Linked DNA regions of Notamacropus eugenii. The protein of the gene in region 1 purifies or fractionates together with the protein of each later gene. This does not show direct contact. Links are inferred from orthologs where the notes say so. Each region holds a gene or a part of one and is shown in the gene's direction. Other genes may lie near its edges. The genes, in order: ING3, MRGBP, EPC2 and ACTL6A.

Region 1 (7,530 bases):
TTCCCACAAGTTTACTCTTGGATGATCACATACTCAGAATCTTACAGAAATGATACCTCACCTAAAATCCTACAGCACAAGATTTCTGTGAAACACTGGAAAATTCCAAGGGTAAGAGGACTTCCAAATAGAAGGCAACTAACTTGGGATATCACTTAACAAGTTATAATGTTCAAAGGTCTAAAATCACTACCAATCACCACAAGTGATCAGCCATAGTTAATAAGCTTTGGTAAGGTCAGATGTTTCAAAAATGTTCCTCCTACCAAGCCAGTCAAAGAGTTAAATAATTGCAGATGGTGGGTATAAATGATTTACACAAATTCTAAGATTACCAGTCCTAGACTTTAGTACTGGAATAATTGGCATATTGTAACTAAATAATTATGAATGCATGAAACACTGAATCTCAGTACTGTGAACCAATTCTTTCCTAAGTTTTTGTGTTACCCCTTTGCAATGACAAAGGAAGCTTCTCTAAAGAAGCCATATTCTACATTTGCAACACATCCGTTAGTGATATTAAATGGGTAATCACTATAGTTTTGAAGAATGTTTTGTGACCTCAACAACTTGATGAAGGTTATATGAGAAAACATGATCAATAATAACTATTATTTATTTGATATTCACAGGACTGCAAGTGACCTATAAACATCACTTCTCTTGGTCCTAACTACCTAGTAAGGTAAATACCATAGGTGTTGTTACACCTATGTTACAACTGAGGTTCAGAGGAGTTAAGTGACTTATTCATGGTCACTCAGTAATTAAAGGTGACCTAAGAACTTAGGTCTTTCCTGATTCCAAGTCCAATGTCCTTACTACTCTACTATATTGTTAAAAGTATCTATTGATCATTGATATACAATTGGCATCAATACCTATCTTACACTTATAATCATCTGTAAATACTATATTATCCTCAAGCATTTTGTCATTAATCTTCAAAATTACAGAATTCTAGGCTTTGTTAAAATTATCTTTATATGGATTACTATGGCACTCTTAGATTTCCCTCTAACTGATTTTGAAAAGTATACACCAGAGTTGGCAAACCTTCAGCCACAAGGCCACATGTGGTCCTCTAGGTCCTCAAGTGCGGCCCTTTGACTTAAAAAGTCCTCAAGGCCAGAAGCTCCCACCTCTGGTACCTTCTCAAAGTCATCTTTCTTTTTATTTTCTGTACCCCTTATCTGCAAAACTATAACTTTCAGTATCTTGAGGAACATTTAGGATTATGCCTTAGTCTGTGCCTTTGCAATGACAAGCATTTATATTAGAAATCACTAGTTTAATTTGTCTACTATTTAGTTATATAATCTCCATAGGTAGATCCTTACTGGAACCATTACAAATGCTAGATTTAGTTTTATCACATAATTCCAATAGTAAGCTTCATTGTGAATTCCACTTATAAGGTGATATACAAAGTGTTATTTAGGAAATCCCCAAAATTTCAATGTTGAGACAGATGGCATAACTGTAGTATAAATAGCAGTGCCCCCATCAAGCTGCTGATTACATTCGTTAAATTTAAATCTCAGTAGAATCAATGATTCTAAAAATTCATGTAATACTTTAATCCAAAATTTAGCATGCACAATGAGAGATCTTATTATGGCATATATTTTAGTTGCACTATCTAGAGAACAACATGATGCTGTTTAAGGTTCTCTATCTTTTTTAAAATGGAAGAGCAGCCTCTCTCTATAAATTCCAGGAATGCCTCAAGTTCCAGGATGGAAACCATCTTCACTCCTTTGCAGGAACTATTTGAGTACTGAGTTAACACTACTTATGGTTATCTGACTTAAAAAGAATGTCATTTTTTGTGCCAGAATGGGTGTTATGTTGGGTATTATTTAAAAAGTAAGAGACAAGTAGGTTTGGAATGTGAGTACAAGTACCTTACTGGAGCACACCTCAGCAATCACAGAAATCTAAGCAACAAACAAGTATAGGAAGTCAAAAAGAATAGGATATTGTGGAACTCAAAAGGAATAAAAAACTAACATTGTACCACACAAGCTCTAGAATATATAAATAAATCCCCAGTGTCATTAGAGATAATAGATATGAAAGTACTTGATTAAACAAATAGTGCGTAAAGCCAGAGAAGAGGTTCATTCATGCATCTAAGCATTTTTTCAGTAAGCATGTATTAAGTGTAAGTGTGCTTAATGTATTCAAAAGACTATAGTATATGCTGGCGTAGATGCAAACAGGGTATGATTCTTGCACATAAGGAATTTGGTGAAACATAAATGAGAAACAATCAGGAAAGAAAAGGAAATGGTTACTATTTTCCACTGGGAAATGAAAACACACTAAAAAGTAAATATGCCTCCAATGAAATCCAACTTAGATGCCTCATCATGACACGGAAGTGACCTTGGATTCTCAGAGACCATGCCAAGGTGGTGCAAACTGTGGAAAATATTGTCAGTCTGAAAGGCTTTAGAGTTCAGTCATGGTGGTCAACTCTATTACTTGCTGTCCAAGGACCAGTCTTGCTCAGTTTAGAAAGGCTCGTTAACAGAGGATTGGCCACTAGATTATCAATGTTTTTGGCTAAAGAATTTCATGAAACCATCTAATAATGATGCATGAAGGGATTACCTGGGAGGAGTATCCACAGGAAAGAAATCAGAGATCACTGAAGTGTGAAGTCATTATAGACCTTACTAAGTACAGGAAGAGAAAGAAAATGTTAGAGCAGGATGTCTTGGGCAAGTCACTTAACCTCTGTCTGCTCCAGTTTCCTCAACTATAAAATGGGGATAATAATAGTAACTACCTCGGAGGGTTGTTTTAAGGACATAGTAGGCACTTCATAAATGTTTGTTCCATTATTCATGGGACTATGGACCCATGAAAATGAGAACACATCAATAATGAAGTGAGGGAAAATATATTGACTGGACCTTCCGTGGAGAATTTATGGGGGGACAAGAGAACCTGAATGGGCTGTAATACTGAAGGTCAGAGAAAATGACCCTACAGAAACCACAGATCCACTGAAGTACTTGAGGATCAAAGAAAAGGCTGAAAGTAAAGCTCTAGGGTGGGTCTGCCACTGCCACTGCAGGGTGTTTAATCACTTGCATAACTCGCCACTTGTGTACCAGCAGTGACTTCTGGTGCCCTCCAGACTCCCTCTCCCTCCCTGGGTGGGGTGGTAGGTATCTAGGTCTATAAACAGAAAAGTGTGCCAATCTTAGAATGCTATAGAAATGCTAGCTATCAACCTCAGAAGGTGTGGAGTGTAATAGTACCTCAAAGGATCAAGATTTATCCATACATGCAGTACATTTTTTTAACCCACTAGGTAAAGAAAAAGTAGGATAAAAATTTCTATTTCAAAGATATATAAAAAAATTATTTCATCAGCTGATGCTCCTAGTAAGCAGAAGCTGACCTCCTATAGGCAATTAAGATGAGCAGTGGATAGGAGGCTGGACCTGGAATCAGAAAGACTCGAGTTCAAATCCTGCCTCACATACTTATGATCCTGGGCAAGTCATTTAACCGCTGCATACCTTGAGTTTCAACTGTAAAACGGGGTAATAACCTACTTCTCAGGGCAGTTGTGAGGATCAAATGAGATATTTGAAAGTGCTTAGCACAGTGCCTGACATATAACAGGCACCTAATAAATGCTTCAACAAAGGAAACATATTTATTTCCTTAGAGTGCAAAGGAAAGCGAAGGAAGCTGAAAAAGACAAAACAAAACAGAGGACAAAATGACAACGACTCCCTACGTAGCGCTTTGTGGTTTGCGAACCGCTTCACCCCGCTCTAGCGTGTTGTTCTTCGGAACCCCGTGCTTAATCCCCTTTTAACTGATGAGAAAACTAGGGTCGATGGAGTGATCAGCTCCAGGGTCACACAGAATGGAGAGGCAGGGTCTGAACTCTGGTCTTCCTGGCTCCCCATCCCGCACTCAGCACACTGTGCCCCCCTGCACGCCAACAAAGCCCTACCTCCTAGGTAGGTGCCTGGAAACCCGGACAAAACCTCGATTCCAGGAACGAAGTACGTTCAGTCATACGCAAACCTTTGCTAAACCTACCAACGGGTCCTATTTCTGGACGGAAGATAGAGGCAAAGAGTTTTGGTTTCAAAACAATCCAGATTGTGTTTCGTCTCCGTTCATTACATCACATCCCTCCCGTTACTCGCCTCTCCCAAGCCCAGCCGGGATACCACAGAGAGAGCGATCAGCTGGGACACGAACTCACCGCGCTGAGGAGCCGGCGAAAAGTTGTATTTCGAGTTATGTCACGTACCTGCCTACAACTCCCAGCACCCCCTGCCCAAAGTCAACAAATAGACCGCGGTTCCTCATTTCAGATTTTGTGCAAAACCGTTTGCAGTCGCTCCTGGGAGACGCAGTTTCGCTGTGAAGTCATTATAACTCGTTTCTTCTCAACTTCTGCAAAAGCGGAACTACATTTCCCACAAGGCTGCGGGAGAAGGCATCGGCCAGCCTGCGTCACCGCGGCGGCCGACCAATGAACGTGCCGGGCGGCGGTGAGGCGAGCGCCGTCAGGCGCCAAAGTGTTTTTTTTGCCCGAGTCGAGCGGCTGCTGCTAGCGGAGGCGCCATATTGAAAGGGACAAAACTCCGGCGACAGCGAGTGACACAAACAAACCCCCGGACCCTCCCCCCATTTCCCCAGCTCTAAGGGCCGAGATGTTGTACCTAGAGGACTATCTGGAGAGTGAGTGTGAGGCGGGGCGGGAGCTACCCGCGGGAGCGTCGGGTGGGCGAGCAAACGGGCGGGCGGGAATGGGGGGAGGCGGGGGGATGTTTCTTTCTCACGGTAACTGGCAGCCTCGCTGTGGGCTGCCGCCTCCCCCCTCGTCCCCCTCCTTCTCGCACGCACAAGACGTACGTACGTACGTGCGTAATTTGGCCCCGGCCCCGCCCCCTCTGACGGGTTCTGTCTCTCTGACAGTGATTGAGCAGCTGCCGATGGACCTGCGGGATCGCTTTACGGAGATGCGCGAGATGGACCTGCAGGTGCAGAGTGAGTGACTTTTCCCCGCGCTTGCTTGAACTCCGAGCACCTGTTCCCCTCCCGCCAGCGCCCCCTGCTGCATAAACGGCCCAGTCTCAGAAGCGCCTTTCACCCGGTGGGGTTTGTGATGGGCGGGTAATGAATGGTATTCTCCGAATGAACGTGCTTCTTTGGCAGGAGGAAATGTTTGGGGAAGTGTTTGACCTCGTGCAAAGGTTCGGGCTGCTTAGAATTGTGCTGAAAACTGCGTGTTTCTTTAAAACCATCTGAGATTTTTTCAGCTGAATTCATAGCACAACAAATGTGAAACTAGGGGTTTCTTTTGGGGGGGGGGAGAATAGATTACAGATGCTGTCAACCATGTTTAAATTAACAACAATTTAATTTTCATATAGAAAAACGTATCCTAGCACCAGCCTACGCTTTTGTGGCTGCATTAAAAAAAAAAAACAAACAACACTATTTCCTCATAGTGAATGTGAGATTTAAGGAAAGCTTAACAGCCTTGAGTGAGGAGTTAGTGAACAAAGTCTGGAAATGAAGTTTCCTCGTGGGAAGATTGTTGCCCCCTTTAGTAGGGCAAATATGGGAACTTACCTAACATCACCTGTTCAGTGTCAGGGACCACTAAACTAACTCCCTGCCTACACCACTGTTCTTTCCACAAGTCGAAGTGAAGTTCCTACAAAAGAAGATGAAAAGATGAGGCCCAGTACCTCAAAATTGTATTCCAGAGCAAGAAAGGAGTCCAAGTTCATGCCCAACTGTTTCCAGGGAAGGTCTCTCTGAGGCACAGTCTTCAAATATGTAAAATGGGGATAATAGCTACACTACCTACCAGTCTCAGAGTGGTGAGGATTAAACAAAAGGGAAGGGGAAGAATTTTATTTTTTTATTGTTTTTCATTCACTTTATTTTTCTAGTTTGAAAGGGTAATCCTACATTGTCCACATTACCACAGATTTTACCATGAAAGTGCTATGATGTTCTGAGACTCAGTATTACAACATTATCTGTGAATCTGAGCATTTTAAAAACTTGACCATGAAGTTCTTTGATTCTTAGGTAAATGATCTTTCATGACATTAACCAACTGTTGAACATACATAAAACACTTTCTTTTGGTGTTAATGGGTAAGAATTTTAAAAAGCATAAAATGCTTTAGTAGTATGGAGGAATAGTATTATAGTCAGAGCTAAGCAATAAAGGTTCACAACTTGGCTCTGTCATTTAAAATTTAAGTGAACTGGGGCAAATTCTTTAATTTCTCTGAGCCTTGGTTTTCTCATTTGTGCTTCATACTTTCTTCTGTAAAATGGGTATAATGATACTCTTATTTCATGGGATTGCTGTGAGAAAGTAATGAAAATGTTTGTAATTAAAGCACTGTGTAGATACAAAGATATGTTATTAACACTCCGCTGTGTGTCATTCATCTTTTTAATAGTAGTCTTTGACTATTAATGGCAATTCATGCGAGTAGCTGAGCTACATGAGGAACAATCCCCAGAAGGGCATAGGCCTTGAGCTACTATGTTTCTTTGTTGTGTGGGTAGGATGTAGATTTAATACTTTTTCTGATCCACATGTATACCTGCTTCTCTGTTCAACTTCTGTAGATCTTTAGCTTTGTCTTGTCAGACAGAAAGAAGATGGAGAGAGAGATGTCATTAGCACATCTATAGTCCCTTGTGTAGACTATGAAAAACATTTTCCAGTAGGAACAATATTATAAATGAGTTCCCCATGCTAACACTCACAAAAGCTGATAAAACTTTTTGTAACAGTATCACTTTCTACTCTGTCTTTTTATGACAAATGGATTCCAAGTTAAACTACTGTGTACTACCCTGAGGACTCAACCGTTATGTGAAACATTGTTTCTATGAGAAAATAGGCTTTGAATTCCAGACAGGTGATTTCCAAATTAAACTTTAGAATACAACTATTTCCAAGGCTGGAGACTACCAATACTCTGTCATGGAAGTATAATTCTAAAACTGGAGAGAACTTTAAGCAATTAAGTCCAAGCATTTTGTTTTACAGATTAGGAAACTGAGGCCTAGAGACATTGTGATTTGTCAGAAGTCATATTATGGAGTAAAGAGATTGTAAATAAGTGGAAGGATTTCTTTATATTCTTTTTATCTGAAAGAGAAAGTGGGGATGGTGGAGGACAAATCTGTAATTTCATTGACGGGTTAAGCTCTCTCTGTAGAATTATTGTGACCTACTAACAACCACATGAAAGAGTGCTCCAAATCAAGAATAATTCGAGGAATGTTACAACTCAGAGATTTTACCCAACAACCAACAAATTGGTAAAAGTGACAAAATATAGGAATAGTCTATATTGGATGGGGTTATAGAAAGGTGGGACCTACTGGCACAGTATTGGTTGTGAATTGGCTCAAGCATGCTGGAAGGCAAATTAGTATGAGGCAAAGAAAGTGACTAAAATGGCCTTTCCCTTTGACCTAGAGATTCTGCTGCTAGGCATA
Region 2 (7,262 bases), on another chromosome or scaffold:
AGAACCAAGGAGAAGAAAGTCAAAGAGATAAGAGGATGAATATTTGATTAGAATCAGTTTTGCAAGATAAAGAGAAAATTAAATAAATCTACTTATTTTGTCAGAGCACTCTGCAGAAACTGTGAAAACATGGAAAGGACCTCTTAGAATTCTTGACCCACCCCCACTACAAGTTGCCTGTCTCCCTAGGTGATGATAACCTGCCTAAAGTCATTCTTCAATGATTAACATACTCCCACTTCACTATATCCTCCCCATTCCAGTCTGAACTAAAGATAAAATTATTCGAACCTATTTTCCATCCCCAACTGCCTGCTCCCTTGTTCCTGTCCCATTTCTAATGCCCCTGACATTCCATTCAAGATCTACCCACCTCTTTCACTAGGTTCCCTGGAATGCCTGCTCCACAGGTAACAACATTTGCTTTCTTCTTTCACTTTTTCCTTTCCCACTTCTATTTTCTTGTACTCTTTGAACTTGATTCTATCCTAATAACACAGCTTCCTCGCCATCCCACCACCCCTTTCCAGCATTTGTTGCACTTTCACTCATCCCCTCCCCATCCCCCCCCCCACACTGATCATTTTGGAGGCATTGGAATATTCCTTGCTCCTATCCCCTCTTGTAGATTCTCCCCCTACCACCATTACATCATTTCCTCTTTCGAGATTCAATAAGTCCATATTTATTACCCAATCAATTTTTGGTAGCTTTCAGTCTTTCTTTCTTCTCTCAATTCCTGTCTTCACACCAGAGGACTTCAAAATGCACACTGATATTCCTCAAGGACCCTAACCTCCCAGTTTCTCAACTTCTATATTTCCCACTACCTACTCCTCACCCCACTATACACATACAAATGTAATGCCCTGGATCTTGCCATAACCCGCAAGGGTTCCACTTCCCTGTTCCTGAACTCTGAAATTCCTTTATCTAATCATAATCTCTTATCATAGCATCTTTCCTTTTGCCTTATGAACCATACCCCTATTCTTCAACCTTAACCTCCATTCCTTCCACCCTTCACTTCTTTTTCAGACTTGCACCCCTGAACTATCTGTACTCCCCTTCTTTCACCATCTTAACTCCTTAGTGAACCAGGTTAATTCTACAGTATTTCAAGTTCTCTCAAGTTCCTTGCCCACTTATCCTAGCACTGATTTTATATATGTGTGTGTAGAATATGTATATGTATATTTGTACACACTGATAATGTTTAATATAAAATTTTGGAATAATCTCTTTGTTCTCTCTGAAGTAAACTCAGAGAGTGCCTCTTCCTATGTCAGCAAAAGCCAGCCAAGGCCGACTCTACACTCCTTAAGGAGACCTTTAACCTAAGACACTATATCTTGAATAATGAGACTTTCCTTTGATGAATGAGACTTTCCTTTGATGAATCTTATTATCTATAGACACATACTATGTTATGAATAATGGGACTTTCCTTTGATCTATAGACATATACTATGTTATGGCGTATTAATGATAAAGAAAATATAGACATCTTAGATCATAATTTCTATTGAACATTGTTTACCCTTTCCTATGTCAATTATCTGTTTAAGGGAGGAAGCCTGCCACTTACTAGTGGTGGGGTTTCTTTCCTTATCACCGAGACATATGCTTACCCAGCTTGGAATCTCAAGGCCTGACTCACATTGCTTTGTTAATTGTCCTGTCTTACTGAATTTATGATTTGCTTAATTAGGAGAGTTTCTTTCTCATGGCAAAATGTACTTAAGACAGATGATTTCTGCACTAGGTAGTCAGAGTCACCTCTGACTCCATAGCACTATGTAACTGTTTTCTTTATAGGGAATTGATCAATTAATTAATTAAATCATAAAATGTATGCATTTAGCCATGTTGCCTTTTCTTAACAAAGTTTTCAGGTCAACAACACACACACACAAAGGTATCCCAAAAGTCTTAGTGCAAATTTAAGCTTTAATAGCAAGAAAGGGTAAGCTAGGTGGTACAATGGATAGAGCACAGACCTTGAAGTGAGGAGAGCCTGAGTTCAAATCTGGCCTCAGATACATAGTAGCTGTGAGACCCTGGGCAAGTCACTAAACCTCAATTTCCTCCTAAAAAAAAGCAAACAATAGTAAAAGAGACACAGTTGTCCTGTATGTGTATATACATGTGTAAAACATAAATACATATAAATGTGTATACAATTGTATATATGCATATGTATATGAATGTATATATATTATATGCATTATACTTATACACACACACATATATATATGCAAGCAATTCTTGCATATATCCCCTTCTTTCTATTCACAAAGCCAACACCCCAATTCAGGTCCTCATCATCTAGCCTATTGCAATTAGCCTCCCAACTGGTTCCCCTGCCCTAAGCCTTTCTTCACTTCAATCCCTTTTCCATATGGCCACAAAAGTGATTTTCCTAAAGCCTTTCTATGTCTAACCCTGTCACACCACTAGTCAATAAATGGCAATGGTTCCCTGTCACCTCTAGGACAAAATATAAACTCCTGACACCTTCCTATCTCTGTTGTCTTCTTATGCATTACTCCCCTCCATGAACTCTACAATGCGTTACTTTTCTTCATATGTGTTTCTTTGACTCAGCGTAGGTGCCATTTTCTACAGGAATCTTTGTCCTTTCACCTGAGAGTGCCTTCTCATTCAAGGTTATATTGTTTCAGTTTCTAGCTATCGCATATACTTAAACATGTCTCTTTTGACAGAATGGAAGGTCCCTGAGGGCAGGGAATGTTTCATTCTTGGCTTTGTATCCTTCACACCATGAACAATGTCCGACACATAGTTTAGTAAATGTTTAGAGAAAGCTTCTTGCAGTGGGGATAGTTTTTACCTTGGTAATTGTATCCCCTAGGGTTTAACAGTTGTTTGGCACATACTAAGTGGGGAATTAACCTCCTTTTATGTAAACTTTAAGTAATCTCCTATAGTTTAGCAAAGCCTTAACATGTTTTTGTTCAAATGAAATGAATTTTCATTACATTGGCATTTCAGGAAATATTTTGTCTTCATTTCTGATTCAATAAATGGACTGACAATCAATTTAGTCAAAGTTTTTAACTTGGGGTCTATAAACACATCATAAACCTTTCTTTAAAAAAAAAACCCACATTATTCTGATATGGGACCCATAGGCATCTGAAGGTTGCCCGAGGGGTTCAGGACACACCTTGGTTAAGATCTCTGAACATCAACCTGACCCACCCTATACTTAAACATCAGTTAGCAACTAATTAAGGAACCCCTACAGTGAATTTAATTGTAACCATCCCACTTTACCTTTTTTGTAAATTGACATTTTCTGATGGGAGACGCAGAAATCAAATCCAGGCTAAAACATAACTACTTCACAAGAGATGTTTGCGGACATAGGTTTTTACTATGTACTAGGCTAAGTGAGACGAGGTTAGGATCAAAGCTACGAAAGCCCCTTGATTAAAATAATCTTCAGCAAAGCACTCTTCTTAGCCCAAGACATGGTATTTTTTTTAATGCCTATGATTTCATGGATATAGGAACCTCTAGGTGAAAAACTTCTTTCCAAATCAACACTAACAGTATTTTATGGTCTTATTTGTCTGGGACACCGAGAGGTTAAGCCACTCGCTCAGGGTTACACTAAGCGAGATAAGGTCTCCACACGAGCTTGCATACCTAGCCACATAAAGTAGCAATGCATAACACCTGGGCATCAGCTCTCTCTGGATTTCTATTAGGCTTATCTCACATCTCTGTTGAAGTCTCGTGTACCCAAGGCTGGAAGGGACAACGTCTTTCCCTCCATCAATCCAATGAAGTTCAAATATGGGTTACTAAGCGAGGGAGGGTTCAGCAGTATTATTTGTAAAGAATAGCGTGAAGAGAGAACTGGTTTGTGAGTCAGAAGACCTGAGTTCAGGAGCTAGTTTGTGTGACCTTGGACATTTCACTTAAACCCCTCTGACCCGGTTTTGCCATTTGCAAAGTATTCTCCACAGCTCTAAAACCCTTGCACCACTCTCCCCACGTGGTCATCTCTACTAATGATTGCCCTAGGAATAATGCTGAGGGAACAATATTGCGGCTTTTCTTTTAACCGGGGCCTGATTCCCATCCAAAGTAATAATAGGATTGTTACACCCACACCACCCACCCACCACTTCCGCGGAGCCTCATAAATGCTCACCACAGTCTAGTTTAAACTGAGGTTTAATTTCTTTCTGGGGAAACGAAAACGGAGGAAAGGCTAGGTGTAGTGGAGACGGGAGCGAAACATGTTTGGAGCCAAGGAGCCCGCGCGCCAGTACGTGGGCACAGGCGCGGCCTGGCCGGGGGACGACGGCCAGAGCGGCCAGGGCCAGCCTAGCTCAGCAGTCTCGGGGGGTCAGGGACAGGGAGGAGCGGCCCTGGGGGCGCAGGCGCGGGGGCGCGCACGGCGCAGAGCGGCCGCCAGAGGGCGCCGGGGCCGCGCGCGCAGCGCTTCGCAGCTCTACAGCTCTATTAACCGGGACAGAGCTATGGGGGAAGCCGAGGTTGCCACCGGCGGAAGCGGCGGCGGCGGCGGCTCTAGCTCGGGCGCGGGAGGCGGCGGCGGGGGCGGCGGCGGGGGCGGCGGAGGCGGCCCTGGTTCCGGCCCGGGCCCTGGCGGTAGCGGTGAAAAAGGCCCCGGGGAGTCGGCGCCCGGCCCGCCCGACGAAGTCGTGGTGTGGAGCCCCGAGGTGGAAGTGTGCCTCTTTCATGCCATGCTGGGGCACAAGCCCGTCGGTGAGGAAAGGGGAGCCGGGAGGGCGCAGCGCTGGGCGCGGAGAGCAGCGCAGCCTGGGCCAGGCCGGAGCCGCGGCCTCGAGTGCCAGCCGCGGCCTGGCGGAGGGCCGGGGCTGCGGCCGGCGGGAGGGCTGGGCCTCACACTAATCCGCCCCTAGGAAGCTTCCCGGGGAGCCCTCCTCCCTCTGGCTCCTGCCCCCAGGACTTCTCTCCCGTCTCCCATCCCCGGCCCCCGAGCTCTCTCTTCTCCCCACTCCCATTCTTGGCTCCCCCGGGCTTCTCCTCCCCTCATCCCCGCCCCCCGGACCTCCAACTCCTCCCTCCCATCCCTTACCCCCTATCTTCTCCCCTCTCCCATCCCTGGCCCCCGATCTCTTCTTTCTCCCCACTCCCATCCCCGGCCCCCTATCTCTTCTCTCTCTCATCCTTGGCCCCCCCGGGTTCTCTCCTCTCCCACCCCTAGCCCCCGATCCCTCCCTTCTGTCCTCTCCCATCCCCGACTCCCCCAGGCTTCTCCCCCTTACTTCTTTGATCCCCGACTCCCCGAGCTTCTCTCCCTCCCACACCCAACCCTGAGCTTTCCATCTACCCCTCCCCGCCCACCCCCACTTTTCTCCCTTCCCGACCCCACCTCCCCCAGCTTTTCCCCCTTCCCTGGTTCCCGGGTCCTCCCAACCTCCTCCCCCCTTCTATCTCCGCCCTCTCCCTCAGTTTTTCCACCCCAGACTCCGGGGCGTCTCCCCCTGCAACCCTGTGTGTCTCCCTTGTCTTCTCCCCCCCTTCCCTTCTTCTTTTACCCTTTCCCCAGCTCAGGGAGAATATATGTTGTTGATCCCTTTTTAGGAACTTTGGGGAGGGAGAGAAATGCTGATTCTCCTCATGGTGGAGCCCTATGGGAAAACCTGAGGCCAGGCCAGCCTCCTTGTTGGGGGAGGGGAGAAGTAGTGGTGTTTGTTTTTAAATACTTATGGCTCTTCTGTCTGAACCAACACTTGGATTCGAGACTTAAATTCAACCAGGATTTATTGAGCACTTGTTATTTACTGGCTGCCAAGGGTGAGAGCAAGGAGCTTGGGAGAGAGAATACTCTTGTACTTGAGCGTAATTGTAGCGGGGAAAAAAGAGTACTAATATTTCTGAGACAGAGGGAAAACACTTGTTTTTATAAGTTTGAACTCTGCTATTTTCCTTGTGTTGTAAAATAAAGATTTCCCCCCCAAAAAAATTTCAAGTCAGGAACAGGTGGAATTTCCTGAACAGTTTTCCCCCCTCTTACAGGTGTGAACCGGCACTTCCACATGATCTGCATCAGGGACAAGTTCAGTCAGAACATAGGGAGGCAGATCTCCTCCAAAGTCATCTGGGACCATTTAAGTACTATGTACGATATGCAAGCTTTGGTAAGGAGTGAATTCCAGCACAATGTTGGGCGTATAAGTAAAAGTGAGAGGATTTAATTCTGTTCTTCCCTTGAGTTCCTACAAACTAAGAAACCTTTAAACAGGAGTGTCTGGCTATAAGAAAATAGGGTATGTGGAAATCCTGCTTAAAAAATTTAGGGGGATAGTTGCTAAAACAGTAAAATTGTATTGAAGTTGAACTCAGTTAACTGGAACCCATTAATTGTTAGAATTTGAAGGGGGCCTTAAAGATCATCTTGCATTCTCATTTTACAGCTGAGAGAACTGAGACCCACAAAGGAAAAGGAATTTGCTGAAAGTTGTACAGCTAGTTAGTGGCAAAACAAGACTAAAAACCCAGTGTTCCTGACCCCTCTTTCCACTATCCTATGGCTGATGGGCCATAATTTCTAAGAATCTACACAAATTTAATTACTAGAAGGAAATCACAACTTTGCAGTTTTCAGAGAATTGTCTCAGTACTCCCCTTTCCTCTCTCAGATGAAAATGGACTGCAATGGAACAGTCTATTGTAATGAGCCAAACAGGCTAACCCAGTCCAGATGGAATCCCAAGATGTTCAGGTATGAGGCAGTGAAAGAACATGGGTTGAATAAAAAGGTCTTGGTTTAGGTCTAGACTCTGATATTTACTGAGCTTTTTCTTCATCTGCAAAAGAGAGATAATACTTGCACTCCAGCCTCAGAGGCTGTGTGAGAATAAAATGTGATTATATACAAAATGATTTGTTTCTCAGTTGAGTTCTTATTTAAGTTCCTGACCTCAAAAAGTGAGGAACAAGCTAATCTTTGAATCCCAAAAGTGTTTTTAGGGACCGAAAATAATAGGGTGTTGAAAAGCCACTGAACTGTTAAGTGGTGTTAAAAGGATAACCTTTGTCTCTCCTTCCCTAGGTGGGGTTCCTATAATTGGTTGATTGCCAGATCCTAGCATCCTACAAGCCAGTGACCTTTTGCTAACCTGCATCAGCATGCCATTATGTAGCTAGGTTCTTTATTTCTGGAAGCTATGGCTGTACTTAACAGGTGGTCTTTTCAAGCATTATGCTGTGCCCTTTTCTTGACCTGGTTCATACCA
Region 3 (7,218 bases), on another chromosome or scaffold:
TGTGACATTTACAAAAACTGTTAAATAGTTGAATAGTAACTATGACTATTTGTTTTTCTCAACTGAATTAAGTTTGCTTTTTAAAAGTTATTTGTCAATTATTTAGAAAAAGCCTGTTCTGATTACAAGAGTGGGAAATGGACAGTGAGATTTTATTTTGACTTTCACAATAAATTGCTATTTGATCTTAAATACTCGATTTGTGGCTCATTTTCCTTATTTTTCACTCTAAGGAATTACATATCTGCAACTGTTTTATTTTTAATATTGCTTTAATGCTCAGGTCTGATTCCCTGATCTTTCTTCATATTACATTTGTAGGGTTAAATGTATGCAGCTCATCATAGGTCAAGGGAAAAGCATATTTGAAGAGATCAGTAAGAACATGTTGTAATTATTCCAAACCTTTCAAAATTCTTCTTCCTAGAGAACTTTTTTCTTAGTAAAAGGAACTGTCTCAGAGGTCAAGACTATAATTTTACGCTATTTATGGAAGCAAGAATAGTGGTGAAATTCAACAAATACATTAGGAAGAAAGCTTAGTTAAGTAATAATATCTATGTACAAATGAAAGACTTTTCAGACACTAAGAGTCAAATACTAGTTTGAGTAATGAATTGGAAGTCAAAAAACCACAGACTGCCTTATGATAAATATGTATTGTGTTGCTTCCTTCAAACTCTTTTTTTCACCAATTCTAAAATAACTGCCCATATGGCAAAAGTAAAAGAGAGACTTGAGGGAGAAACTTAAGTGGACAAAAGGCTTAATGGTCATTTATGAAGCACTTTGAATGCCCTGGCTCATTTGGGCCTTACAATAACCCTGTGAAGTAGGTACTAAAGGTCTTATTACCCCAATTGTAGAGATGGGAACAAAGGTACAGAGGGCTTAAATACCTTACTTGCATATAGCTAGAAAGTTTCAGAAGCAGAATTCAAATCTAGGGTTTCTGTTCTTCAAGTCCAGTATCTCATTCATAATGGTGGGAAGTTTCTTAGTTAATAGAAAAAAAAATCTGTTCTTATTACTATATGCTAGGGCTTAATATGATTTGTAGTAATGTGCTGTCTTGTTTCCCAAATTGCTTTTGGCTCATAAATTTGGGCTGAGGAACCAGAAATGCTGTGGGTGTTTACAGGAACATGCATGGACAACTAAGTTCAAGTCAGGTAAGGGACCAGTGAGGCACTCTAGCTCAAGCTGGAGTAGGAAGTATCCTGGTTCCCCATTTATCCACCTCCACCCCCGCCTCCAACACTGAATCCACAATGGAATAGATAATGGATCTAAATCTAGCCTTTAGGCTATGGGTTATGAGTTTTTACTGGGATCCTTGGGGGCGTTTAGGTTAGAAACTTTACCTCCTGGAGTGCTCAGCAATCTAATGGATTTTCCTAAGTAAGAAAGTGAATAATAAAGGAAGGGAAGAGGAAGTGTGGGGGAGGGAGAAGAGAGTAGGGGAAAGGTGGCCAGAGCTGCTGGAGAAGCACAAGACAACTTGCACTTGTAAATTTCTGGGGACCCAGGGAAAAATCCTGGTAGCCCACTTACTGCATTTTCTTTTCCCGTATTATCTATACTTTTTATATTCAGTTCTGTGTTCAACCCTCCACTTCTTGGTTTTTTCCTTTCTTTAAGCTAAACTTCCTTTCTTTGCCCCCGGATTCCTGAAGAGAGTAGTGTTCACAATTAAATATACTCACCAGCTCGTTTGAAACATTCCCATTTTTTAAAATTAAAAACATCTTCCATGGAAAATATTTAGGATTTTAGATTTGAAAAAGATCTGCTTACTACCTTAGAGACCAGTTACTCCAATCCTCTCATTTTAAGGATGAAGAAATGGAGGTCCGGGAAAGTTTGTGACTATGCCAATGCCACAGGGTTGAAACCAAGATTTGAACCTGACTCTTCCATCTCCAGATCCAGGGTTCTTCTCATCACATCATGACTTAATGATAATTGACATTCATACAGGGTGTCCCAGAAGTCAGTGCAGTTTTATGCTTTAAATTCCTTTAAAACTGCACACAGACTTCTGGGACTCCCAGTATAACGTTGTTAAGGCTCTCAAAGTCTTTCAAATGCCTGATTTCTTTAATTCTGACAATGGTGTTATGAAGGTGGTACCACAGATGTTATTATTCACATTTCACACATGAGGCAACCAGAGGCTTGAGAATTTAAGTGACTTGCACGTGGTTATAGAGTGAGTGTCGAAGGCAGTATTTGAAACCATTTCTTTTCTGGCTACAAAATTAATGCTTCATCTCTACACACCACTTTAAATAATGCCCTAAACTGGCTTGACAATTCAGACTCTATCCAATGTGACTATCTACCCTTTTCAGCTAAAATCCCACCTTCCATAGGAAGCCTTTCTTGATTCTCTTAATTCTTGTGCCCTTCCTCTATTGGTTTTCTCTAGTTTGTCTTACATACAGTTTGTATGTAGTTGTTTGCATGTCATCTCCCCTATTAGGATGTGAGTCAATGAGAGTAAGGACCGATTTTATCTTTCTTTATATCTTTAGCACTTAACATAATGAATGACTGGCACACAGTAGGTGCTTAGTAAATATTTATGAACCGGAAATTTTTATAGTCGGTTTGTTCAAAAAAAAAAAAAAATCTTGGAGTCCTACAGAATAATACTTGTCACGGAATTCCTAAGAATTCTGTTAGGATTACTTAATTCTTTAAATATTAATCATGATATTCCAGCTAACATAAGTGCCAAGAATACTGTTATCAAGATAGAGCTCAAATCATACTTCCTTACGTTTTCCTTGAACACTCCAGCCTAAGGCGAAGTGAACTGAACCGTTATTTTCTGTACCATTTATTTGGTATAATAATTTGCTACATTTTGACATTGTCTTCTTTGCCACTGTGTTTCCTCAGCTGAAAAATGAAGGGATGGGATCAGACGATCTTTAAGGTCTCTTCCAGATCTGAATCTTAAGCATCTTGTTTTTCATCGTATAAGTTTGCCTAATTTTAGATAAAATGATTTGTTTTTGCTTCCCCACTTAGCGCCTGAGACCACCGTGTCTTTACACAACTCTATCCTGCCAGCATCTAGTGAAATGCCTTGCCCATGGACGCACATTTGTGGATTGGATGTTTTTAAGTTAAAAGAATCCTTTAGACTTCTCAGCCCTTAGGAGAGCTGCAGGTGGCATCAGAAGGTCCCCGCGCTCTGAGGCTCTGGGGTCCGCGGGGACAGAGGTGAGTGGTGCCCGCGCATCCGGCCCGACGGGGAGCGTCGGGATCCCCTCGCTGGGCAGCACCACAGCCCTAGGTATCGCCCCAAGGCAGGGCAGGGGTCGGGGGCACGTCGCTCCCCAGGGGGCCGGACGGGCTCCAGGCTGGAGTTGTGTCCGAGCGGTGTGGACCGAGCCTACGGTGTTTTCGCACCTCCTGGGTAGCGTGCGAGCGTGAAGGAAGAGGATGCTCCGGGCGGCCTGGGCATGAGCCCGGTCTGAACCCCGGGTACTCCGTGCGGGCTGTCTTCCTCGCCACGGAGCCGAAGCGCCCCCGGGCAGCGCCGGGGTGAGCCTGCATCTTCCAGCGCCTCCGTTCGCGCGGCCGGGACGGGCTGGGGAGGCAGGGGCCACATGGGATGGGGCATGCCCACCCACGCACACCTGACGGCAGTCAGGTTGGCGGAGGGTCGCACGGTTCTCCGCAGTCCTCTCGCCCTGGGAGGCCCGAGGGCCCGCGCACACTCCCGCGGGCCGGGGGCGCGCCGAGGAGAGAGTGGGTGGGGAGGGGAGCGGACTGGAGAGGAAGGAGGGAGGAAAGAGGGAGGGAAGGAGGGAGGGAGGGGACGGCGGGGAGGGAGGGAGAGGACGAGGCGCGTCCCCGCGGCGGGGGCGCGCCCTCGCGCGGGCTGCCGGGATCGCTCGCCGCCGCTGTGGTAATGTCCGCCATGTTGGCCATGGCGCAGGGAGCGGATCGGGCGGGCGAGCGGCGGATCTAGTGTGTGGAAGCGGCCGCGGGCGGCGGTGGGTTGTTCTCGGGCGGGGTGGGCGCCCATGCTGTGGACGGGGGCAGTGAGGAGGAGGAGGAGGAGCGGGCCGGCCGTGCTGCACTGAGGAAGGAGAGGAGGCGGCGGGAGCCCTCCCCCCCCTCGCCCGCCCCGCCGCCGCCGCCGCCGCCGCCCGGGCTGTTCCTGTGAGGCGGGGAGACAATGAGTAAACTCTCCTTCCGAGCGCGGGCGCTGGACGCCGCCAAACCGCTGCCCATCTACCGCGGCAAGGACATGCCCGACCTCAACGACTGCGTCTCCATCAACAGGGCCGTGCCCCAGATGCCCACCGGGATGGAGAAGGAGGAGGAATCGGTAGGGACTCGAGTGTTTATTATCCCCCCCCCTTCCCTCCTCCCTCCCCCCTCCCCATTGTCAGCCGGGCATCGCCATTCACGGAGCGCTCTACGCACGCTGGAGGGCGCAGCCGCTGCTCCGCCGCATGGGACCGTACGCCGGCGGAGTAGCGTAAACTCTCTCCGGCAGCGCCGAGCCCTCCGCGGCCGCCATGTTGTTGCGTCCCCGTGTTGTGATTAGCTCGCCGCGGCGCTTACGCCGCCGTATGGGGGCCTCGCCGTAAGCGGCGTCTGGGAATGGCGCAGGGGGCTGCGCCGGCCGCTGTTGGCGGAGTGCCTCTTACTCGTTTAGGCACTGGGGGCCTGGGGGCCGGAAAGGTTTGCTTTTCGGGGCGCATTGGGCTTTTTTTCTTTTCCTTTTTTTTTTTGTTTTGGTGGTTGTTGCAGCGGGTTTCCTTTTTTAAAAAAACATTACTTCGGAGAAGTAGAACGATTTCCAAACCGACATCTGTTTTCCCCCTGCAAGATCGTCTTCCTCGTGTTCTTCCCCTCCCGCTGTAAGCTCCCCATCCCTGGTGCAGTCGGTAGTGCGGCATGGCCGGAGGTGGGGGAGACGGACGGCGGCGGCGGGGGCCACTACACTGCAGCCTGCGGCACTGCCCGGAGCCGGTCAGCACGCGGTCGCAGACCCCCCGGGGTTCTGTGTATGTCCTTCTGCACGAGCCGTACGCGCGACCACTTACTGCGTTTGTCAGGGAGGGTCGCTGCCTGTCTGACATTTCGCGGTAGGATGCGTTTCGTCTGGAATTCTGAGTTGTGGGTTGTTGCAGTGGCTTTTCGGGGGGGATTGCTGAAATTATTATGGGGTGACTTTGCCCCCGGCTGAATTTCAGCTGATTTTGTGCTGGGTGTTGGTGACCCCTCGAGTGGCTTTACTTGCATGCGGAGTTCATAGTAACTGCACCCTCCAGAATTTCTTCAATGAACCTACTTCCCCGCCTCTTTGTCAGCCCCCGGTGTGTGTGGATTGGCTCTCCGGCTTCTGCGGCTGTCAGAAGAAGGCTTGCTGCTCTGTGATTGGTCTCCTCCTTGGACTATTAATATTGCAGGAAACACTTTCATGTCTTTGATTGGCTGCTCATGCCTCTGACCTCATTGTGTCGCCCTGTTATTACTACTTTCCAGCTGTGATTTAATCACATCTCCCTTTAGAATTGGAATCACTGGCTTAACTTTCACTTGAAAACGTGGTGTTTTTTATTTCTGAATAGAACCTTCCTTCTTCTTTTGGGATCTTGGAGAATATGGTCTCCAAGACTTTTGGAGACCAAATTCTCCATTTAAAAAAAAAAGCAAAACTAGAGTGAAAAGAAACATTTATGGGTGAAGTCTGTGCATGAATAGAAGGAATTACTTTTAGACGTTTTCAACGCATTGCACCAGCAACAAATAGTTGCTTATGGGACTAGCATTTAAAATAACAAAGTTCTACCCCGGATAAAGAATTACTTTAATTATTTTTTTTAAAATCAGGGATAGGCTTTTGATCTGTCCCAGATGTAGAGAACTCTCAGGTGAAAAAACTCCTTTTATCAATTAAAGTTGACACTTCTCTCTGCAATGTGTAGTCTTAGAGAGTTGTTATGGAGAGCACAGAGAAGTTAAATGGCATATCTAGATTCATACAGCTAATAGCTCTCTCTCTATGTGTATATATATATATATATTATATATATATATATAATATATATATATATCTCAGAGGCAGAACAGGATTCCACATTTTGCTGATATATTGGTTCACTCTCTGTCCACTACCACCCTGATGCCTCATATTTTATTACACTTTTGATTTTAAGAATTTTTAATAATTTTGATTTTATTCCGCTGAATTTCCATAGATATCATGTACACATTTTTAGACTTTCAAAAAGACAGGCATGAAGTGAGTCCATCTACTCTTGTATATAATTAAAAAGAGCTTTGGACTAAAATTCAAGAGACTTGAGTTCAAAGTCTGGAGATGATACTAATTATAGTTCTCTGATCCTGAACAAATTACTTAACTTTTTCTGGGTTTCACTTTTGCTCATTAAAAAAGTGAAGGACTTGTAGTAGATATTTGAAGCATCTTATTTATTCTATCCTGTCCATATCTTTTTTGATCTTGAGTCTGACATTGACTTTCATGTAGCATGGTGTTCAAACCCTTTCCCAACTTTGTTGTCTTCCTCTGGATACTCACTAGGTTATTAACATCTTTCCTAAAATGTTGTATTAATACCTATTGATCTTCTCCTTTTCCTCCATATTCTCTCTCCTTTCCCCTCTGTCCTTTCCTATCTGCCTCTCTGTCTTTTATCTTTCCCCTCTTCTTCTTCCACCTGAGTGCAGGGAACTTCTTCTGACAGTACAGTTTGTCACCTCCTTTGATTGCATACTCTTAAATGATTTGCTTCAAGGACTCAGCAATTAAGGGACCAGTCGGGATTATTATTTTGCCTGTCTTAATGCAGCCTAATAGCACAACTTGTTTGGACACCATATCTGAAAGATCATCTTCAGTTCTAAAAGTCTGTAACCCAGTGAATACTTTGGTTTTTTTTTTTTTTATATTTCTGATGCATCAAAGCTTTTCAGTTTATTAACTTCCTTCCAAAAATGCGATCCCCCCTCAAAAAACAATCTCTTTTAGAACTACTTAACTCTAGGATAGGGATTGGATCTACCATTTCATGGAGAAGTACTGGATGAAGAAACATCCTCTACTAATGTAGGTAGATACCTTTTCTGCAATTAATAGTCTTAGTTACTTTGAACATAGAGGTTAAGTAACTTGCCCGTCATCACAAACTGTGTCAGAGATGGGACTTGAACCTAGGTCTT
Region 4 (6,873 bases), on another chromosome or scaffold:
AACCTGAATGTCAGTGATTAGAAGAAGATTTGAGACTATAAACTGATATAAAATTCAAGACCTTGAGTTTTCCTGGTTCCTATCTGTGACAGAGAAGCTGTGTAGGATGGCTGATGGGATACTGGACTTGTCAGGGAGGCCAGGGTGCAAATCTCACCTCAGACACTAGATATGTGTTTCTGGGCAAGCTATCCTCTAGGTGCTTCAGTTTCCTCATCTGTCAAAATCAAGGCGCTGAGCCCCATGGCCTCAAAGGTCCCTTCTATGACCCTATGATACACTAAGATGTTAGAGAAGGCGATGCTTAGCTATACCTCCAAGAAGAAATCATCATGAACCCCAGCTTATTTTCTTTCAGTAGAAAAGACTGTTGTATTTGTATCACTTCACTCAATCCTCCCCAGACATGATATTCCAGCTCCTGCTGTTACACAAGCCCGGGATGCCCTTCTTCATCTCCTAAAACTCTTAGAATTGCCGGCTTTCTTTCAAGTCCAACTCAGTGTTCCCTCCTACACAAGAACTTTTACGATCCCCCTTCCTCTCCCAGTTGTTAGCGCTATCTCTTTTGTGAATTTACTTTGTGTATACTTTGTATTTACTAATCTTAAAACATATTGTATCCCCGCCAGTAGCATATAAGCTCCTTGAGAGCAGAGAATGTTTTGGGTTTTTTCTTCTGTGCCCCCAATGTCTAGCCCAATGCTTGCGAGATAGTAGAGGCATAACAAGTGTTTAATTGAATTGAATTTATCATGTCTTTTTATGTGGAAATGGAAGAAAATGAAACACCAGATCAATAAGTTAAAATAAATGGGTATTTCACAGGTCAACATTAATGAAAAGCTGCAGGATCCTTAGTTATCATTCCCCATCACTGCTGAATAAATTCTTTCTTACCAGACCTTCTCTAGCAAGTCCACTACTCCATTGCAAATAATCTTATTAAAGTCATACATTTTATATGGCAAAATGTAAGAAATCCCTAAGAGTGTACTTTAATACAGGCTGACATGGTACAAATCACAACAGGCTGAATTTCTTGGTTGTAACTTAATTTCTTTTGCTGTCTGTTTTAATGGCATAACCCATCCCGCTCAGTCGGAGCATTTGAGCTCCATAATGCGTCAGAAAGCAAGCTGAACAGAAATTATGGGTGAATTTTCCAAATGAGAATGGCATGTCAGTCAGAAGACTATATACTAAACAATGGGAAAAAAAAAAAGACCACTTACCTTAAAAGCAAATTTCTCCTAAGATGGATTTACTGTAGTTGCAATTTACAGCTTTTTGTTTTTTGATTGTCAGATTGGAGTTTTCTCTGGCATACCAGTCTTGCTGTGGAGGGAGAAGGCTCAATTAAAGCTTCTCCCTACATTTGCTTGTCTGCAGTGGTGCAGCTGGCTGGGAGATGAAGTCCGAAACACGCCCTCTAAACCAACTTTTCCTTCCAGATAAAAGACTGCCAGTGGAACCTGGAATAATCTGAATGTTTAGGACTTTTTTGCCCCTCCAGATTCCTACAAGGCAGATGTTCTTATCTTGATCTCTATTTACCTCAGTTCCTTCAGCTGTAAAATGGGGATAAAAATAGCATCTCCCTCCCAGTGTTATTGTGAAGATAAAATGAGAAAATATTTGTAAAGTGTTTAGTGCAGTGCCTGGCACATACAAGGCACATATAAATGCCAGTCATCATCATCATCATCATCATCACCAATGTAGTGTGTTGCTGCGTTATATTTTTTCTATACATTTTGACCAAAAAAGTTGCAGAAGTGGGACAAAAGATCAGGAAATATTACATACATCAACAATTATACAATCTCTGTCACTTGTCATTATTATGATGAATATTCTAACATCCCCCATGCTGGAATTCTCTTCCTCTTTACATTTGATCTCTGAGAATCCTTTACTTCAAGCTTCAGCTTCAATGCTACTTCCTAGAAAGATCTTTCTTAATTCTTCTAGTTGCTAGTCTGTTCTTCCCCCACTTATTTGTATATATTTTATATCTGTATTTATGTTGTATACATTTTATATTGTGCATGCTTTATATTTAGTTATCTGTGTACATGTTATTATCTCCAAGTGAAACATAAGTTTCTTTGGGTCAAAAACCATTTCATTTTTTCCTTTGTATCACCAGCACCTAGCCCAGTACAGAGCACAAGAATAGGTCCTTAATGAATGCTTGTTAAATTGATTAATTAAAATTAGAAGGTAGGTTTGGTCAGGTGAATAGAATTTTTGCACATATATTCAGGGCCTGAGGTGATAATTTTCAGAGGCTGGAGAGATAACAAGAGTCTTGTGTCTCTTCTCCATCACCATCATTTATTTTTCTATGCTGTTTGGTTAAACTGGTAGGTTGTCTTGTTGGTCTAGTAAAAGTAAGCATGTCAGTAGGGTCTCATAAGCTATGATTCTGAGTGGATGGTGACTCACAAAGTGAAGGTCTTATACGTCTTACAAATGTCAACTGCCATCTTGGCCAATAAAGTCCAGATTTGTCCGTTGACCTGCATATCCCAAATCATCAGAGATTCCATAGCCATAGATTAGTATGCCTTGGATAGTACCATCTGCTTTCTTGAACCTGGGGTGGGATCAATAGTGGTCTGGCACAGAACTTCATTTCATAGCTCTAATTTCTGCAAAGTACTCTCTGGAGAATGAAACATTCATCCTTGAGGGCCACACCCTCATTTCTTTAGCTAAATCATTACTTTAAAATTTGTATCATGCACTTGTTCTTACCAAGTCATCTAAGGTCAAGGCAAGAAAAAATGATTCTATACAATGAAATTCTTGTCCAGTGAGGGTCCAGTGACTGGTGGAAGTCCTAAACTTTCAGCTACAAGTCCACATGTTAGTGGCCCAGCAACTTGTGTGTCACCTATCACCTTTACCATTCCTGTAGGGTATCACCATGGCTGTTGACAAATGTAGCTTAGGTTATTTATTGCAACAGACTGTTGGTGGGTCTCCCTGCCTCAAATCTCTCTTCACTCCAGTCTATCCTCAGCTCAGTTGTCAAATAGCTTTCCTAAAATGAGGTTTCACTATGTCACATACTCCCTACTCCCTTTAACCAAACTCCCACAGCTCCCTATTGCCTTCAAAATCCATTGTAAAATCCTCTAGTTGGCTTTCAAGGCCCTTCATGAACCCAGTTCCTTCCTACCTTTCAGTCTTAGACCTTACTCCCCCTCCACATACTCTGCTATCCAGTGACAGCAGCCTCCTTCCTGTTCTATGTACACGATATTTCTCTCCCAACTCCAAGCATTTTTTCAGGCTGTAATACATACCTAGAACTCTCTCCCTCCTCATCTCTTCCCCCTGGCTTCCATCAAATCTCCACTAAAGTCTCACCTTCTGAAAAGGGAATCCTTAATGTTCCCCTCTCTTGAATGTTTCCAAAGTATCCTGACTATATCGTTTGTTCATGGTTATTTCTATATCCTCTCTTTGTATCTCAGAGCTTAGCACAGTGCCTGGTACTTAATAAATGCTGTTGACTGGAGCTGAGTCTTCCCAGAAGGTAGTACACACTTAGCTCATGACTGCCTTCTCTGCAGGTAGCATACATTTTAGAGCTAGTTGGATTACCAGGGTGATTGTTGACCGCCCATATTTGAAAATGAGCTCCATGCTCAGTCTCAAAAATTTGTCAGGGCAGCCTGTTTCAAAGCCAAGAACTCCAGTGGAGACATAGAACAAATCTCATTACTAGTAAGCCCTCTACTGGCAAAGGCAATGAGTTTCAGAATCAGATATAAAACTGCTCCCGGGCTTTTTAGGGTGGCTTCACGGAGTCACATAAAAGGCAGGCTTGCTTTCTGCAGGTACCAACACCGATGCCTGGGGGAGGACTTGACCATCTCTGGAGAAAGCTTTGCTTCGCTTCGTTCTGTTCATCTCTTATCTGTCTATATGCCCTATATACAACATATCATCCCTGTTCTAATGACATTAACTCTTCATAACGTCATGGGCTGTTGCCTTCTTGTCTGCCGGCTCAAGGCTCGGAGCACCGTGCCTGGCACGAAGTAGGCGCTTAAGAAGTACTTGTAGCTGTTAGAATAAGGATCCCTCCTTTTAAGGATCTCTCCCGCGGGTTTGGCAGGGTTTCCCTTGTCAGCCATAAAGTCGGGAGCATTTCTATGCCTGGCGGCTTGCCCAAATCAAAGGGAGTCAGCGCTTCTCGGGTCCCAGCCCTGTCACCTTCCAGGGGGCGGCTCCAGAAGCCACACTCAGTTCCCCAGAGGCAGGCAGTGCTTCAGGTCTGTTCTAGGGGCAGTCACCAAGTGCCCAATGGGAGCCATAACTGGGCATAAGCACCGGGTACGACAGATCCGCGCACCTGGAGAGGACTTTTTAGCAGCCCGAGGCTACTCTGCGAGTGCGCCAGGTAAGCGCGCACCTGAGCCTGCTGGTGGATGAGGGCTTGCGGGAGGGACCCGCGCAGAGGGAGGTGCCCCAGACCTGCTGCTGGGTCAGGCGTGTCCCCTGGGATCACCGACAGAGCTGGGAGGGTCCGCAGTGCGCCCTCATTTTACAGATGAGGTAACTGAGGCCATCCCGGGAGCACGTGACCGAAGAGGGGGGCTGGCAACTCAGGCCTGCGTCCCCGCACTGGTGCAGGAGCTCCAGGGAAAGGATGGGGAGGACCTCGCGACCTCCCGCAGCTGGAGATCCCCGGGGCTCCCCCCACACACGTATGTGTGACGTCACGTGAGTCCCTTCTTCTCTGGGTTTTGGGGGAGAGAGGGGGTGGGACCGCGTGACTTGCGGGGTCTCTGGGGCTCCCGCTCTTGGCAAGTCCCGCCTCTCCCCCTAGCAGGCCCCGCCCCAGTCCCTTATGCCCCGCCCCTTACGCGCTGCAACCCAACTCGGTGTCTCCTCCGCCCCCTTCCGCCGCTTGGCTTTCTCCCCGCCCCCCGAGGACGTTCTATTGGTCGCACGGCTGCGGGCGGGGGCAACGTCTCTCTCGGATTGGCGGACGCGGAGGCCTGGCCGCTCGTCATTGGCCCGCGGCGCGGCGGCAGCAGTGTGGATGCGCGCCTGAGCGGACGGCGCTTTGTTGCCTCAGGGGGAAGCCGGGGGGCGGGCGGCGGTTGCTGGAGCCCAGGAGGCGCCGGGGCCGGGCAGGCCGGGGCCGGGGGCCGCTTCAGCGCGGCGGCGGCAGTAGCAGCCATGAGCGGCGGCGTCTATGGAGGAGGTGAGCGTGGGCGCGGGCCGCGCGGGCCCCGAAGAGAGCCGGGCCCGAGAGCGCGGCGTGGGGGATCGCGGGCCGGGGCCCGGAGCAGGCATCCCCGCGCTCCGGCGCCGCTCAGGGAGGCGGGGAGAGGGGTAGCCCTGAAGCCCCTGCCGGAAGGCCTGCCCGGCCTCCCTTGGGTTCCGGAGAGGGCAGCGACCAGGCGCCGTCACTGCAGCGGGGAGGTCGCGGGCCTGCGGGCGCCAGCGCTGCCGGGGCCCCGAGGCCCAGAGTGGGCAGCCAGCCGCGTCCTGGCGCCCAGCACCAGCCCCCGGGACACCGAGGTCGGAACGGAGAGAGCCCGGCAGCACCATGCGGCCGCCCCGGGTCATGGGGGAGGGGCGGCGGCCACCGGCGGAGAGAGTGCCCCGGGGCCGGGTGGGGCCTGCCTCGGAGCCCGAGATGGCGAGGGGGGTCCTCGGGGCCCTGCATAGATCGGGCATCCACCGAGGGGCTCCGGGGCCCGCGCCTCGTTCAGAGCGCCCCCGGACACGGAGGGGCCGCCTCAGGGCAAGGGCCCAGGCCCTCTGGGTGGGCTCCTGAGGGGGGTGTTGGCACCTTGTGGGCCTTGAGTGCCCTTTGTCAGTGTCTCGGGGAACGACTGGGCGGGATGGTGGGTCCTGATGGCGCATTGAGCTCCCCGACCCGTCTGAGAGACGTTCAGAGAGTCACGGCGCTGCCGAAAGTTTCCGAGATTGCTGGACCTGGGCTTCTTAGCCTGGTCCGGGGTAGATTCAGGCGGGTCAGTGACCCCGAGCCGGAGAAGCTTGGGCAGCACCCAAAGGCAGCTTGGTTTGAACTCACCTGCCCCGGGACCCAGCGTCGCCTTGGTGACGATCTAAAAGAGCAGCCGACGTTCCGAGAAGCGGTCCTTAGGTCTGGCCAGCCTGGCCCAGAAGGTCCGAGGTCTGCCCAGGCCGTGCTCCTCCTAGGTTCTGCAGACCCCCGGGACACCTGGGACCCTGGGGCCTGCGGGGCCGTGACAGCGGACTCTCAGAAGGCGTTTTGTGCTCAGGACACTGGTGGAGAAACTTGGGGGATTGATTGGGTTCAGGAGACGGAGCAGGGGATCGTGGGTTTGTAGTCTGGTCTTAGAAATCTTTGTTCAGCTTGCCTGCGCACCTTGTGAAGTGAGGTGGTCGTAAGAACCGGGCCTGGCAGCTGTCAGGCTGGACACCCCATTTGGTTGGTTTTATGACCTGGGGGTCCTTTTCAGACCTTATTTTTCTCTTCTCTAAACTGGGAGAGTCACCTTGATGATTTCACAAGGGGATCACCCTAGTTGCATTTCTTGCTGCCTTATCTTCATTAGCTCTTCCTCTAGCCCTCCTGAAGCTTGGCTAAGGGACCTGTACTGTGATACACATTATTTCATTTTGTTTAGTATTGAACAACAGACATGTCAGACCCTTCTACACCTATGGTTGTGCTTTGTCTTTGACTTCAAGAAACACTGAAGGTTTGAAAGAGCTTTGTGGGCATGGGGATGGTTTTGAAAATCAGTACATTTCCAGTTTATAACGTTTTGCCTCCACTAGACCATGCTGTTAAGAAGCATGTATCAAGTGTTTTAATGTCTTTGCTTCTGAAAAAAGATAACATGGTGG

What was found.
Region 2: the proteins of ING3 (region 1) and MRGBP purify together in Homo sapiens (co-immunoprecipitation; 4 studies listed by BioGRID and IntAct, counting the BioPlex papers as one, with this or other methods). This does not show direct contact. The link is inferred for Notamacropus eugenii from reciprocal best matches to the Homo sapiens genes ING3 and MRGBP.
Region 3: the proteins of ING3 (region 1) and EPC2 purify together in Homo sapiens (affinity purification with mass spectrometry; 3 studies listed by BioGRID and IntAct, with this or other methods). This does not show direct contact. The link is inferred for Notamacropus eugenii from reciprocal best matches to the Homo sapiens genes ING3 and EPC2.
Region 4: the proteins of ING3 (region 1) and ACTL6A purify together in Homo sapiens (affinity purification with western blotting; 3 studies listed by BioGRID and IntAct, with this or other methods). This does not show direct contact. The link is inferred for Notamacropus eugenii from reciprocal best matches to the Homo sapiens genes ING3 and ACTL6A.

Annotation. Positions count from the first base shown.
Region 1 is NC_092874.1:130,718,863-130,726,392, reverse strand, and holds the start of ING3 (inhibitor of growth protein 3), read left to right. Parts: upstream 1-4,518; 5' UTR 4,519-4,700; coding exon 4,701-4,728; intron 4,729-4,965; coding exon 4,966-5,037; intron 5,038-7,530. UniProt on the Homo sapiens protein: Component of the NuA4 histone acetyltransferase (HAT) complex which is involved in transcriptional activation of select genes principally by acetylation of nucleosomal histones H4 and H2A.
Region 2 is NC_092872.1:499,219,405-499,226,666, reverse strand, and holds the start of MRGBP (MRG/MORF4L-binding protein), read left to right. Parts: upstream 1-4,245; 5' UTR 4,246-4,274; coding exon 4,275-4,764; intron 4,765-6,042; coding exon 6,043-6,164; intron 6,165-7,262.
Region 3 is NC_092876.1:282,154,518-282,161,735, reverse strand, and holds the start of EPC2 (enhancer of polycomb homolog 2), read left to right. Parts: upstream 1-4,198; coding exon 4,199-4,351; intron 4,352-7,218. UniProt on the Homo sapiens protein: May play a role in transcription or DNA repair.
Region 4 is NC_092877.1:344,709,730-344,716,602, reverse strand, and holds the start of ACTL6A (actin-like protein 6A), read left to right. Parts: upstream 1-3,849; 5' UTR 3,850-4,323; coding exon 4,324-4,420; intron 4,421-5,037; exon of another isoform or gene 5,038-5,205; coding exon of another isoform or gene 5,206-5,230; intron 5,231-6,873.